2 linked regions of the Alligator mississippiensis genome follow. The protein of the gene in region 2 purifies or fractionates together with the protein of the main gene of each other region. This does not show direct contact. Links are inferred from orthologs where the notes say so. Each region holds a gene or a part of one and is shown on either strand. Other genes may lie near its edges.

The links.
Region 1: the proteins of PLD1 (region 2) and ARF1 purify together in Homo sapiens (affinity purification with western blotting; 3 studies listed by BioGRID, with this or other methods). This does not show direct contact. The link is inferred for Alligator mississippiensis from reciprocal best matches to the Homo sapiens genes PLD1 and ARF1.

Annotation. Positions count from the first base shown.
Region 1 is NC_081828.1:214,222,223-214,229,361, forward strand, and holds the start of ARF1 (ADP-ribosylation factor 1), read right to left. Parts: upstream 3,200-7,139; 5' UTR 3,090-3,199; intron 1-3,089. UniProt on the Homo sapiens protein: Small GTPase involved in protein trafficking between different compartments. Modulates vesicle budding and uncoating within the Golgi complex. In its GTP-bound form, triggers the recruitment of coatomer proteins to the Golgi membrane.
Region 2 is NC_081830.1:75,709,846-75,716,936, forward strand, and holds the start of PLD1 (phospholipase D1), read right to left. Parts: upstream 3,014-7,091; 5' UTR 2,835-3,013; intron 1-2,834. UniProt on the Homo sapiens protein: Function as phospholipase selective for phosphatidylcholine. Implicated as a critical step in numerous cellular pathways, including signal transduction, membrane trafficking, and the regulation of mitosis.

The sequences.
Region 1 (7,139 bases), on a different chromosome or scaffold from region 2:
CCAGGGCTCCCCGGGAGCCTGGAAATTTGGCAGCCATGGAGCAGTGGCACTGCTCCCCTGCTGCTTAATTTCCAGAACTGTGGTGAGCCTAGAAGAAGCTTTCAGACTGGATACAAGGAAAAACTTCTTCACAGTTCATGTGACCAGACTCCAGAATAGACTCCCAGCAGTGGTAGTGCAGACACCTACCCTGGAGATCTTCAAAAGGAGACTGGACATATGCCCTGGCGGGGCTATTTGACCCCATCAGGCTTTCCTGCCCAGAGCAGGGGGCTGGACCCAATGATGTCATGAGGTCCCTTCCAGCCCTAAACGTCTATGAATCTGTGAGCCCCATAGGCTTGATAACACCATGTCACAGGCTGGATCTGTGCTGTGGCAGATTAGCAAGCCAAAGAGTTAAATCATTCCTATGGTTTGGGGCACAAAACTGCTCTAGCACATATGATGACAAACCAAGAAAACCTCTGCAAATTTTATTAGAAAACCCTACATCCAACTAGGTTCTTATTTCCAACTTCATTTTAAGACAAGAGAAGCAATGATAAAATTCTGTTTTAAGAGTAAAATCCTGAAACACACAATTTTACCAAACGATTTTTAACTACCAGCCTTTGGTAGTTCACTAACTCACCTTCGAACTGTTGGCAGCCTAGATTTTTTTTTTTTTTTTTTATCAACTGATAAGTTTAGGGGGGAAAAAAAAGGATCAGGAAAGTTAGGGGGATGTGCACGCGCACGCACATGGTGTAATGTCGTAGAACCAACAGCACTGGGGGAAGGACATGTCATAGAACCACACATTCAGGGTTTCCTCTGTGTGCTGGACACTCCCCATTGCCCAAAAGATGAAGACTGATTTAGAACAGTGGTTCTCAACCTTTTGGAATCTAAGGCACTCCTCAGAAAATGCCAGCTCTTAGTTTTCACTTATTTTTTTGACTACAGAAAAAAAATAGTAATTCTTCTGTTGTAAAGAACTCTGAAAGACCACAACAGGCCAGAATGCTTGTAACACTACTTGAAGTCTCTGGGATGAATCTGTGAATTGTGTCTGCACACTTAACAGTGCTAACATTGCATGGTACCCCACAGCACCCTGGCTGAGAATCACCAATTTAAAGGCTGGCAGTCAATGCCCCTCTCAGGCGTTTTGATTGTAGTTTAAGTTGCCATTCAACAGGTGCAGCCCAGGTCAAAAACACTGCAGTTGGCCCAACAATAAAACGGGTTCGCTTCCACTCAAGCAGAACGCATGCCTTGGCTTGCAATAACAAACTACTTGCATGCTTGAAAACTGCAGTACTTGCTCCTCATACCATTCATGACATGAGTTCAAACAACGCATTGGTGTCAATTCGCAAACAAATATGGTAATAAATACATTAGGTGAACAGAAAATAAGTGGAAGCAAGTGGTGGCTGACATGTCACCAAATTCAAAAGCCAAAACACCAGCAGCTTCTGTTCAGATAAAGATTGGCACATGAATGAGAACTATATTAGATTTGAGAAATCAGCAGAAGTGATGCCTTATTCCCTCACTATTTTTATGTATTAGAAGCAAGAAATAAAATTAGATACTTGCACGTGGCAAGAAAAAAACTGCTGAATAATGCAAAAACACAGCTGTTGTAGTAGGAAGCTGGTCCTGAACGTCTTTGCTCATCAGTTAAGGGAGAGCGTGATGGTTGCAGATACTGATACCTTTACAGGTTTTAAACCATAACAAGGCCTTCAACAGATTTTGAAAAGTAGACTTTCTCTCTCCATTGATGGACTTACAATACGGTGATCAGATTTACCGGAAATAACGTAGATATTGGTCTACAGTTAATAAAATACATCATTAAGAGAAGAATAAAGTCTCTCTTTACCCTGGAAAGGTCACAGCTCAATAATGCTTTGCGTCCACGCTGGACACGTTTGAGAAGTTAGGAGATGGTATGTAGAAGGAAACAATCTTTCCTGACTTCAACCAACCAGCTGATTTATTTCCTTCTTCCGCTATGCAATTAAAGCACAGGAGGGGTATTGAACATCCCATTTGCACCCTCAACACAACTGCCTACCGCAGGGAATTTGCACCAGGAGATATAAGGCACAGTAAAGATTCAGCTTGCGCGTCCATCCCGTCTCCCCAGCGCACGCCTTCGCCAGGCTACTTCCGCAGCCCTCCGAAAGCCCTTTAATTTTGCGAGGAGAGGCAGCGAACGTGCCCGGCGTAAGCAAACGAGGCACGATCCATTAAGCAGGCATCGCTGGCACGGACGCTGCGAACTGAAGACGTGCGTCGAGACTCAAAAAACGGAGCAGAAACGAGCCAAGCGACGGATTTTAAACACAAACCTATCCCCCACCTCTTCTATTTCACCACACCGAGTCCCAGGGGGGGAAAACCACATCCATTTGAGCTGTCCCTAGGCAGGAAACTCGGCCAACGCACAATCGAGGTTGCCGTCTCCTGGGGCGGTAGCCAGGTACGTTATCGGCGCTCGTCCCGCCGGGCGCGACCGCTGCAACCGCGAGGGAAGCACCCCGGCTGGAGAAACGCGCGGCACTGGACAGCCCTCGAATAAACCCCTCAGTCGAGAGCGTGCCCCCCGCCGGGGGAAATAGGAAGCGGAGGGCAGGAAACCCTCAGGATCCGCAGACTGTTAAAAGTGACCTTGGGTGGCTGCTTCCCTGACTACCCCTCAGTCTTCCCCTCTGTGAAACGGGGATAATGACGGGAAGCCACCAAGGGGAGCGCAGCGGGGTGCCTTTGGGCCGTCACCCATGTCTTTGGGGGGGGAGGGGAGGGTTGCACAAGAAGTTGCACAAGCGGGTGCAAGGGCGGGTGGGGGGGCAGCAGGGCGCTGCCCCACCCCCCACGGCTCCCTCCAAGCGGGGGAAGGAAGCGCTGTTTCCCCCTTCCCCGGGAGAGTGGGGGGGGGGGGCGGCACAGCCCATTCCCCGCAGCGCCCCTCCCCCACCCCGGGCCTGCACCCGCACAGGCCGCCCCCGCGCCGGCCCGCGGGCTCCGGGGCAGGGGGAGGAGGGGAAGATAGGGCGGGGGGGAAGGACACGGCACGGCACGGCACGGCTCACCCGGCAGCGGCGGCGGCGGGTCGGAGGTGGCTCGGGGCCGGTCCTGCGCGTCTCGGCCGCTCTCCGCCCGGGCTCACAAGATGGCGGCTCGCCGCGGCCACGTCAGTGCCAGCCCCGCGCGGGGCACGACGGGAATGGGGGCGTGCTCGCCTCGGCAACGGTCGCGGGGCGGTGTTAGGGGCGGGGCCTGGCGCTGCACCGCTACAGAACGCGCCCCGCGCTGGGTGGTGACGTCAGCTCGCCTTGTCATGTGACCCCCCCTCCTCGCGCCATGTGGTGGCATGTACACGCCTTGTCATGTGTGCCTGCCCCGCACTGTGTGGTGGCATGTACACGCTGTGTCATGTGTGCCTGTCTCACACCGTGTGGTGGCATGTACAGGTTGTGTCATGTGCCTGTGTCACACTGTGTGATGTGCACACGTGTCATGTACCCACCTCACGCCATGTGATGAGCACATGTGTACCTGCCTCGTGCCATGTGGCGATGTACGCACGTGGTGACATGTACATGCCTTGTGCGTACCTGCCTCACGGTGTGTGGTGACATGTACACGCCTTGTCATGCGTACCTGCCCCGCACCACATGATGCATACATGTCATGTCGTGCATACCTGCTTCATGTCTTATGGTGACGAGCACACGCCTTGTCATGTACACCTGCCTCACGCTGTGTGGTGACGTACATGTCTTATCACGTATACCTGCCTTGCGCCACGTGATAACGTGCACCGTGCCTTGCTGTGTGTACCTATCTCACACCGCATGTTGACATGCAAACACCTTGCCACCTGTACCTATGATACACACCAGAGTACCTGCCTCACCTTGTGGTGACATGCACACACCTTGTCACGTGTACCTGCCTCATAACGTGTGGTGACGTGCACACGCCTTGTGTGTACCGGCTTCACACCGCATGCTGACACGCACCTGCTGTGCGACACACTTATGATACGCACGCCTTCTCCAGTGCATCTTTCTCACACCGTGTGGGGACACGCACCTCCCCAGTAACATGTACCCATGACACATGCATGCTTTGCTACGTATACCTGTCTCGCACTGCGCGGGGACACGCACACACCTTGCGACATGTACCCGAGACACAGGCCTTGTTGTACATGCCATTCTTACACTGGTGACACACACATTTTGCAATAATGTACCAGTCTCTCACGGCCTGGTGATACACATCTGCCTTTTGATATGTGCGCCCTCACTTTCTTGGGAGCACATGCATTTCTTGTGACAGGGAACACCCTGGTAGCATGCACATGCCTCGTCATGTACTCATCTTGTGAAAGGCACACACACACACACACACACACCTTGCAACTTGTACCCCTTGTACTGACATGCATATATCCTGTGATGCGTACTGAACTTTTGCTTACATGTTGCATGTACCCACGTCACACTTCATGAGAACACGCTTATGACGTATACCTAACTTGCACCTCATACTGACATCTGCCTGCCTTTGGGTATGATCCTGCCTTACACCTCACAGTGACATGCTTTTCTCCTGATGATGGCAGGTACACATCTTATGGGCAGCCTAATGCCTTGTGCTGGCAATACACACACATTGTGACATGTCGTTAATTCACAGCTTGTGACACGTGCTTTGAAACACGAACCCATCTTGCAACCCGGGACGGCACACGCAAGCCTTGCAGTGACCTGATCCCACCTCGCACCTTGCAGTGAGACAGATGCGCGTTATGCCTTGGGATGACATGCATAAGCATAGGTGTGTGCTAAAAGTGTCATCACGTCTCCCAGTGGCAGGACATTGGTGGCACCCACATTTTGCAGTAATTCAGGCCTGGTTTTCCTAAGGTGCTTTGTGGCTGTGACGTGTATGAGGGGCTGGACTGGGGACAGGACTTGATGGTCCAAGAAATTATTTCCAGTCTTATGCATGGCCATCTCATCCTTTCTGGAGACATGTATGTGCTTCCTGGCATGACTTTGCCTCCCGCTTTGTGCGGATACAGATGTGTTTGACACCTTTGGGAAGTCAGTTGTATGCCTTATAACATACCCCTTTCACCCTTTCTTACAACGTGTGCCTGCCTTCTGGTGACACAAACATGGCTCACCTCGTGGTGACACCCTGACTCTGTGATGGATTGAACATGCCTCATGGTGCCTGGTGCACGCCTTGTGATGATGTGGATGAACTTCATGCCTTGGGGTGACAAAGACATGAGTCACAGCTTGGTGTGACACACACATGCTTTGTGAAAGTCTCCATCCGGTGGTGCTATGTACATACATGAACCTGCCTCGCGCTCCATAGTACCACGAATGTGTTTTAGGCTTTGGGGAAAAGTGCACACACTGCGATTTGTGTCCGTCTCACAACCCAATGGAAACATGCACACGCCTTCTGGTGACACAGACGCACCTTTTGTGACACAAGCTCTCAGTCTTCCCGATGCAAAGAATGAGCTGTCAAACCCAATGGAAATAACGAGAGTGAGTTAGTATAGACGCTTTAGTGACAGAAGAGGGTGAAAGGCAAGGACAGCACCTTTACGGACCAGAACAACCAGTGCGACCAGACAACCCAGTCGTCACACGGGGATCAGGGGAAAGTGGAGTTAGGAAGCCAGGCAGTAAGTGCAGAAGAGCAGGAGGAGGAGAGGATGGGTTGGTTGAGCTGCATGCTCAGGACAGAGGAGGACCAAGGTCCCAAACAACAGAGAAAGCAGGGGAAAGGGACATAAACACTTGCCTAATACAACTTTTTTGAGTAAACATTTTCTATAGTTGCTATAGCAATGTTACATGACTGCGGATGGGAGCAGAGGATGCCCATGTAATCAGGGAGAGAAGGGAGCATGTCGCCAAGATAAGCTGTCTAGGAAACAACTGTGTACAAATTTAAGAAGGCCTGACTTAATCGGCTTTCCCTACAGTTGTTACCAGTGCTCAGGTTACACATGAACACCTCAATAAAGGCAACAGCCCAGCAATCAGGACATTTGGGCTCTGATCCTACCACCTGTGTGAGTGAACTCGGTGCAAAGTTACTTCACTTTTCTGTGCCTCAGTTTCCTCATCTGGAGATTGCTTATTTCCCCCCAGAGGTGGTACAATCACCTATCCTGGAGATCTTTAAAAAATGACTTGATGTGCACCATCTGACCCCAGCGGTCTTTCCTGGCCAAGTGCAGGGGGGCTGGACCTCCCTTGAGGTCCCTTCCAGCCCCTAACATCTATGGATCTATGAAAGTGATCTGAAAGTGCTTGCAGGACCTCAGACAGGTGTCAGATACATGGAAAGCAGTACTGCTGGTCCCAAATGTTACATCATGAGTCAGGTTTAAAGAGATCATGAAATCGGTCTAAAAATAGTAATTAAAATGACAATAATAATAATAATAATAATAACCTTGAGCTTATTTGTATTTGCTTTCTAGGTTTGGTACCTTTAAGATACGTCTGGGTCACATTTCCATGCTGTTCTCTGCAACCATGAGGCCTAGAAACTTCTTTTTTTAAGAGGAAAGCAGAGATCTGAAGCATTCACACACGACTTCTGAACTGGGGCTTTCAGGAAACAGGGATTGTGGTGAGATTTGGCAACAACTGACATATAGTTATTAAAGAGAAAACAAAACCGAGAAGTCAAATTTCACTGTTGTTGGTGGTGAACGAATGCAAATAGTGTGTAAGTTGCATAAATAGGGGGAATTGAAGTCTTACTTTTAAGAACATAGCGCCTTCAAGACACATTTGGATGCTTATCTTGCTGGGATCCTATGATCCCTGCTGACTTCCAGCCCATGGGTCAGGGGGCTGGACTCGATGATCCTCCGGGGTCCCTTCCAGCTCAAATGTCTATAAAATCTATGAAATCATTGAACCGAGGAAACATTTTTTGTAAAGGATTATTTTAACTTTGTCACTGCTGTTTCACATGGTCATCAAAGAAACACGCCAGTTGTTTGATGTGTTCTGTGTTTTAGGAACAAGTCTCTGCATACTAGGATTGCCCAGCATCGGCTCGGGATGTGGCAGTAGGCCTGTAGGCAT
Region 2 (7,091 bases):
TTCATGCTTCCAAGTTTCTACCAAGACTGCTAACTAAATTCACGCCAACCAGCAATCAGACCAACATCTGTAGGAAGAAAAAAAATGTGTCTTCAGCTTACAACAAGGAAGATACAAAACTGTACCTGGTTGCACAGTTTGCCTGTGAAATTATGTATAAAAACACTGGTTGGGGAAAGCAAAGCCACTGTGATACACTGGGTTATTTTCCATAATGTGAACACACTCAAAGAATCAAAACCTTCATAAAATCAGTGACGTATATGTTCCTTTGATTTTTTTTAACTGAGAGCTAGCAACATTTTACAGTTTTGTCATATGATCTATTCTGCTACACGAAAGAATGAATCGTTTCATGAGAAATGAGTAACGCAGAGTTGCTACAACAGTATTTTATAGACAGAAACATTCTTAGCAGATCCTAAAAGATCAGAATTGTGATCACAACAAATTGCTGGCTCCATCTCTAAGGATGCAACAGATTTAACTCAACTTCTTACAGCACAGGTGGTAACTTAAATGGGAGAAGCTCATTTCTGGAGCTTCTGGCACAGTAAAACTCAATTTACCTACATTTTTTCTAGCAACATTAGCAGAGACATATTACAGATTTCCAATGGTCCTGAAACACGGGCTTTTAAAATATGGATCTTGTTTAAATCAGATATCAGATTCTTAAAGGAATAACACCTAATTTTTAAATGGCATGAGAAGAACTTAAAGAGCCCTACCCCATTTAAAAAAAAATGCTGTTCTTCCTTAGGTTTATATTAATGTCTAGCTATTGCTAGATTCAGCAGGTTTGGAATCAAGTCTTTTCTGGTGAATTGTATATCTATCTTGGACTCTTAGGGTATGTCCTCACTACACAGTTAAGCCTCTTACAGGGTTTTTCTTCTAACCCCCTATCTGTCCACATTAGAAAACCTGTGATCCAAATCTGGAAACTGTTTTGAGTCTGAGCTTGCCTTTCCAAGAAGAGGTGTGGGTTAGAGAAGTTTCTGCTTTAGCATGAGCTGGAAGCTATCTATTTTGCTACAATAATACAAACAAAATCATTTAAGTGCTAACAGTCCACCAATACCCTTTATACCCTTTCCCACAAGCACCCCAAAGAACAGACACGTGAAGCAACTGATAGGGGGAAGGATGCCTAGAGCAGCGAACACTGGGATTTGTCCCCAGATACACACAGACCAGTACGGAAATAGGAAAACTCAGCTGTGCAGGAAGGACTTGGCTGGGGGAATGCTTGCAGGTGGCCTTGGCTAACTTGGGTGTTCAGACCTCTGCACTAATTACCAGGGTTAGCTTTGCTGGGAAGACAAACTTCATGGAGGTTGGATGCCTAACTTCCTTAGGGAGCTGTGAAAATCTCATCCCATCAAGTTTCCAAACCTTGGAGAATAAGTGCTTTCCCTCTTATACAAGTAGCTCATTAAAAATAAATATCACTGGCAAATGGATTTGGTTTATGCTAATAGGCTCCACTGTTATTTGTATTCCTCAAAACTAACATCTGGGTTAGCTTAATAGGGAGGGGGCAGGGCTATCTGTTTTACCAGATTATAGTGCCATAGAAAGGACATAACTCTCCCCACCGTTGTAGGCATTTCACCCTTATTGCTTCAGCGGGATTGTACAGGCACAGTTAAAACACTATGTAGATGCTAATGCATAATACATGTATGCTTGTCATATACAGTAAGCCGGAAAAAAAAATCAGCCTGCAGAGAAAAAGGTGCAACTCCCTTAAACTCAGTGGAAATGAATTCGCTTGTATCAGGCCTGAATTTGACCAGTATTTATGCCTCATAATTTAGCATTCAATGCCTTCAAAGCTCAGACTTCAATTTTGAGAAGAGAGTGCTTTAAGCTCACAGCGAGCAAAAGGAAAGCAGTACAACCAGGTAAAGAAACCTCTCATTCTGAGCAATCCTTCTGTGCTTCCTCCAGCAGAACCGGTTCTTCAAAGGCACGCGGAGAATTCCCAAGTGACTGAATGCTCCGAGGTGGCAGTTGTCAAAAGAAAGAAGGCTCCCCTGACTCTTTCACTGCTCCTGGTTGTAAAGTATGCCAGCCAACATGCAGCGCGCACATCCTTCAGCGCACAGAAAACAGACAGAAGCTACTGACATTCACAACAGACTAGTGAGAAACTACCAAGAGTTTACAAATTTTCAGACATCCAAAATGCTAAGTAGCCATTTCTTTTCGGTGTGCTCGGCAAGGTATTTGAAGTGTTAAAGATTAGAAAACAATCAGGGCCTGTAGTAGAGATGGTATCTTTTATTAGACCAACACGATTTTTGCAAAAAAAAATAAAAAATCTTTAATTGTAAGCTTTCAGGAACAAGACAAATGTGACCAAAGCTTGCAATTAAAGAATTTTTTTTTTTTTTTGCAAAAATCTTGTGGTCTAAGAAAAGATATTGTCTCTACTATGAGCCCTGATTGCTTTTTCCTCTAGGCCAATACGGCTACAACCTGGATACCTAAAGACTACAAAGTAATTTTGAGAATGGGCTGTGAGGCTTACAAGTAAATGTAGTACCTTTGTAAGAGCAATGAACTTGGCATCCAGCCTCCAAACAGCCAAAAAATACAACGTTCAAGCAACACATTCATTTGAAAAGCAATGCCAGATGCTTAAGTTCCCTTTTTTTTTCTCTTCTGAAAAGGGCTTAAAATTAACTGCCTCTCCCCAAACAGACAGAACACAATGATCTTAAACAGTTTTTTTTAATCAGCTGCTCCATGTTAGCTTGAAAAACACAGCGAAACAAAATGACGTATGGCAAGAAGTGAAAAACTTCCAGTCTTTCTTTACTAACCTTATGCCCCTGTGCACGTAGGTGCCTCATGGTGCCGTTTAAATGAAAAATCTCCTCTCCTATGAAGTGATTATCCAGGACTGTGTTACTATGAAAAAAATAACCACAGAGGAAATCTGCACAGACAAAAGCTGTGTCTTCCTAAGTGCTTCAGTTCAAGTATTCAGGCTGGCTCCCTAAAGGCAAGATGAAGTGAGACCCAACCCACAAGGCACTTCAGCCTATAAGAATCACTAATGAAGTGAAAACCACTCCCATATGTTAAACTGAATATTAAGAAACACACAAAGGGGGGCGGGAGGAAGGGCAGGATGCGGCGGGAAAAAACCTCACAGGCACGGACTGAGCTAATGATTCCTGCTACATCTTTATTTTGTACAGTATCCGACTTGTTACAGTATAACAAACATTAGAGACACATTCTGCTCTTAGTTATTCCAACTTTACACCAGTATAAATATACGTATTCACACTGATTTACTGAACGTACTGGAGCAGAATTTGGGCCTTACAGAGTGACCTTTCCCTCCTTCTATACTCTTCTCATATAAAAGCTACACATATTTTAAAAAGAAGACAATTTTCCTTCTGCTACAGTCCAGAAAGAATTATATTTGGATGAAGGAATAGAGAGAAAGTCGCTGCAACTGAACTGTGAATTAAATACATTTGATATTATTCTTAGCATAAGACAAGCTAATAATTATGGTCAAATTTAGGGTCTTTGGGTCTCCTAATGCTATCTTTTTTTAAATTTCTAATGCATATTACCAAAGCCCTTTTTAATACGGAGAGCAGCAAATTCTTTTGCGAGACAGAGAGAGAAAGCGACAGCAAGTATTAATGCTTATGGCCGTTCTGAACTGACATCTTGGTAAAAATGCCTGAAGCCTAATTATAGTAATGCAGTATCCAGCACTGCAGCTCCACTGACAAAAAGGTAAGGGTCTGAATTTTTTCCATGTAAAAATAAACCTAAGATAGTGGATACTACAATTCAGTCTTCAAGACTGCCTCTCTCAAGATTTCAGCATAGAGAGGGGTTCTGAGTTTTAGGACAAGACACTTCTTGAACTGAATTACAAAGTAGATAAAAAGCCAACCTTAATCACTACCAACCAGAGGGCAAATTCTGTTTCTGGTCTACCGATGTAAATTTAGCAAAACGCCACTTACTTCACTAGAGTAAATGAGATTACAGTAGGGCCTGGCCTTTAAGCAATGTTTTAATTGCCAACATAAGCTCAGCAGGACTCAAACTACATTAGCTGAACTGGTTTAAAGCAAGTCTTATCTAACATGCTTTAAACATTTTTTAACTTGCTCAGTGGTTCATATCTAGGGTGCCACAAGGACCCCCTTTGGGGTGCTACAATTTAGGCGGCCAAGTAATATTAGGCCTCTCTGATACAGCAGACAAAGCTGGATTGGGCTGTAGCCCCTCCTGGTCCGGCCCCCCTCATGCTCCTTCCCACAGTTCAGCCCTGCCTATTTCCAGGAGGAGCAAGGGGGAGGCAGACCAGGAAGGGCTAGAGCAGTGGTCACCAACCAGTGGATCTCGATCCACCAGTAGAAGTCGGAGCCTCTTGGAGTCGATCCGAGGCTAGGGTCGGGGGCTGAGTGCCTGCGTGCCCCAGACCAGCAGGTCAGTCCCTGGGGGAGTGAAGGGGCGGGGGCTAGATCGTGGCCCCCAGTGACGGACAGTGCCACAGAGGCAAAAGCAGGGGTAAGTTGAATGGGGCCCCGGCCGGGTGGGACTTACCTGCTGGGGAGGTGTGCCACCAAATCATTTTTTCTCCCTCTGCCTCGATCTGCACCCCCCTTCCCTCCCCACAGATTTACCTGCTATGGGCGTTGGGGGGGGGGGGAGGGGTTGATAATGGTGCACAGTAGATCTTGGCTTGCTTTTAAATGTCAAAGGTGATTCATAGATTCATAGATTGTAGAGTCAGAAGGGACCACAATGGATCATCGTGTCCAGCCCCCGGCCCCTGGCAGGAAAGAGGGCCGAGGTCAGATGACCCCAGCCAGGTGACTATCTAGCCTCCTCTTGAAGACCTCCAAGCTAGGTGACAGCACCACTGCTCTTGGAAGCCCATTCCAGATCCTGGCCACCCTTACTGTGAAAAATTTCTTCCTAATACCTAACCTAAATCCACTCTCAACTAGTTTACACCCATTACTCCTAGTCACTCCCTGGGGTGCCTTAGTAAACAGCGCTTCCCCTATTCCCCGCTGACCTCCCCTAATAAATTTATAGGTGGCCACAAGATCTCCCCTCAGCCGTCTCTTGTGAAGGCTGAAGAGATTCAGCTCTCTTGATCTCCCCCCGTAGGGTCTATCACAAAGGCCACTAATCATGCGAGTGGCCCTCCTCTCGACCCTCTCCAGATTCTCCGTGTCCCTCTCGAAGTGCGGCACCCAAAACTGGACACAGTACTCCAACTGCGGCCTGACCAGTGCCGCATAGAGGGGGAGCATCACCTCCTTTGTTCTATTAGTCATGCACCTGCTAATGCACAACAAGGTGCGATTGGCCTTGTCGATGGCCCTGTTACACTGCCGGCTCATGTTCATCTTGGAGTCAATTATGACTCCAAGATCCCTCTCTGCCTCCCAGCTGCTGAGAAGGACACTCCCCACCCTATAGGTGTGCTGGGGGTTCCTCCTTCCCAGGTGGAGTACCTTACATTTATCTCATGAACGACGTGTGGCCCCGGAGGCTGGGAGGCACAGTGAGCTCCCGCAGGCGGCGACAACACTGCCAGCAGCAGGAACGTGGTGAAGGTAAGTGGGGAGCTGCCGCAGGCAGCCGTAGCACTGTCAGCAGCTGGGCAGGGGGGCGGGGGCACAGCGAGCGCTATTAGTCGACGACCACCCGCAGACACCACCGGCAGTGTCGGCCAGCAGCAATTGCGGACCACCCGCAGGCGCTGACAATGTCAGTGGTGCCTTTTTACAGGGGGGACACTGCCACGCTCCAGGGGTGCACGCGCACCCACATGCACCCCCTACACATGGCCAATGGGTGATCTACTTAAAAGGTTGGAGACCACTGGGCTAGAGCCTGAGCTAGCTCTGTCTGTGTCAGGGTTATCAGAGAAACATAATGCAGTGGGAACATGGGCACATGCCACAGCCCTTCCTGGGCTGGCTGTGCACAGGCATGCAGGCAGTCTTACTGGAAGTGTGGCCACATCTAAAGAAGTGGAGGAGGGCAAAATCTCTGAAAAGGCTGAGAGCCACTGGTCTAGCCCATGTGTATGGGGATTATAGTCTAGAATCAAGTTTAAAAGCCCGTACTGGATCTCCTAACTGGGCTTGTTTCCATTCACATTTTTCAGCCCAAGTGGTTTTACACTGAGGTAGCCCATATCCACTGAACGCTGTGATTTAAAGAGGTTCAGCAAATCTGATTCTTGACTCATATGCAGATAGGAGCTCAAAGGCATAGATACTCCTATCAAGAAGAGGGACAAACCTCTAGACACGTGGCAGAACCCTACAGAAGAGAATTACGACTATTCAGAATGCCACCTCCCATCTCCATCATAAGGTAGAGGTAGGGTGCCGGTTGGGGGAGGGAAGCTAAATTATACAGTGGATCCTGGATTTTTCATTTAGGGGTGGCAGTGGGTTACCAAATTAAGGAAGAGCTTTGCTTGCTGTGGCTTTTACTTCAAAAGGGAATCACTGCTCCACTCGGCCAGAACGCTGACTTGGTCTCATGTGGCTGATCAGAGCAGTGATGCCCTTAGAAATAAAAGCTGCGGCAAGCAACCAGAACATCTCATGGCTCATTATAACCTACCTGATCCCTTCTAAACTCTGCACCCCACAGGTGTCAGTGACCCTCTCTTCTTTTTAATGCTCTTGAGGAGATCCTTCGTTCTGCAATTCTGGGGTCTGTTAGCTGTTCCTGGGAATGCAGCTCCTATTTCACAGCCCTGAAGCTTGTTTTTAACTCATTCCAATGAAGTTATATTTATTTTTTGCTTCAATCTTAAACTGCATAATACAGCCCTTGGCCCCTAGTATATTAATGACGCTCCTAGTTTATTTTTAATTGGAGAAAAATGTGTGTTGTTCTGTATGTGATGATGCACCTCACCATCTGCACCCCCCTTTTCAAAGTACTGCCCATGTTGCCAGCCCCAGAAGGACAGCATGATGTGTGGGCACTCCTGCCTCACAGTTCATTCACCCCCTTTACACTTTGTTCTCCTGTGCAAGGACCAGTGAAAAACAAAGATTTAA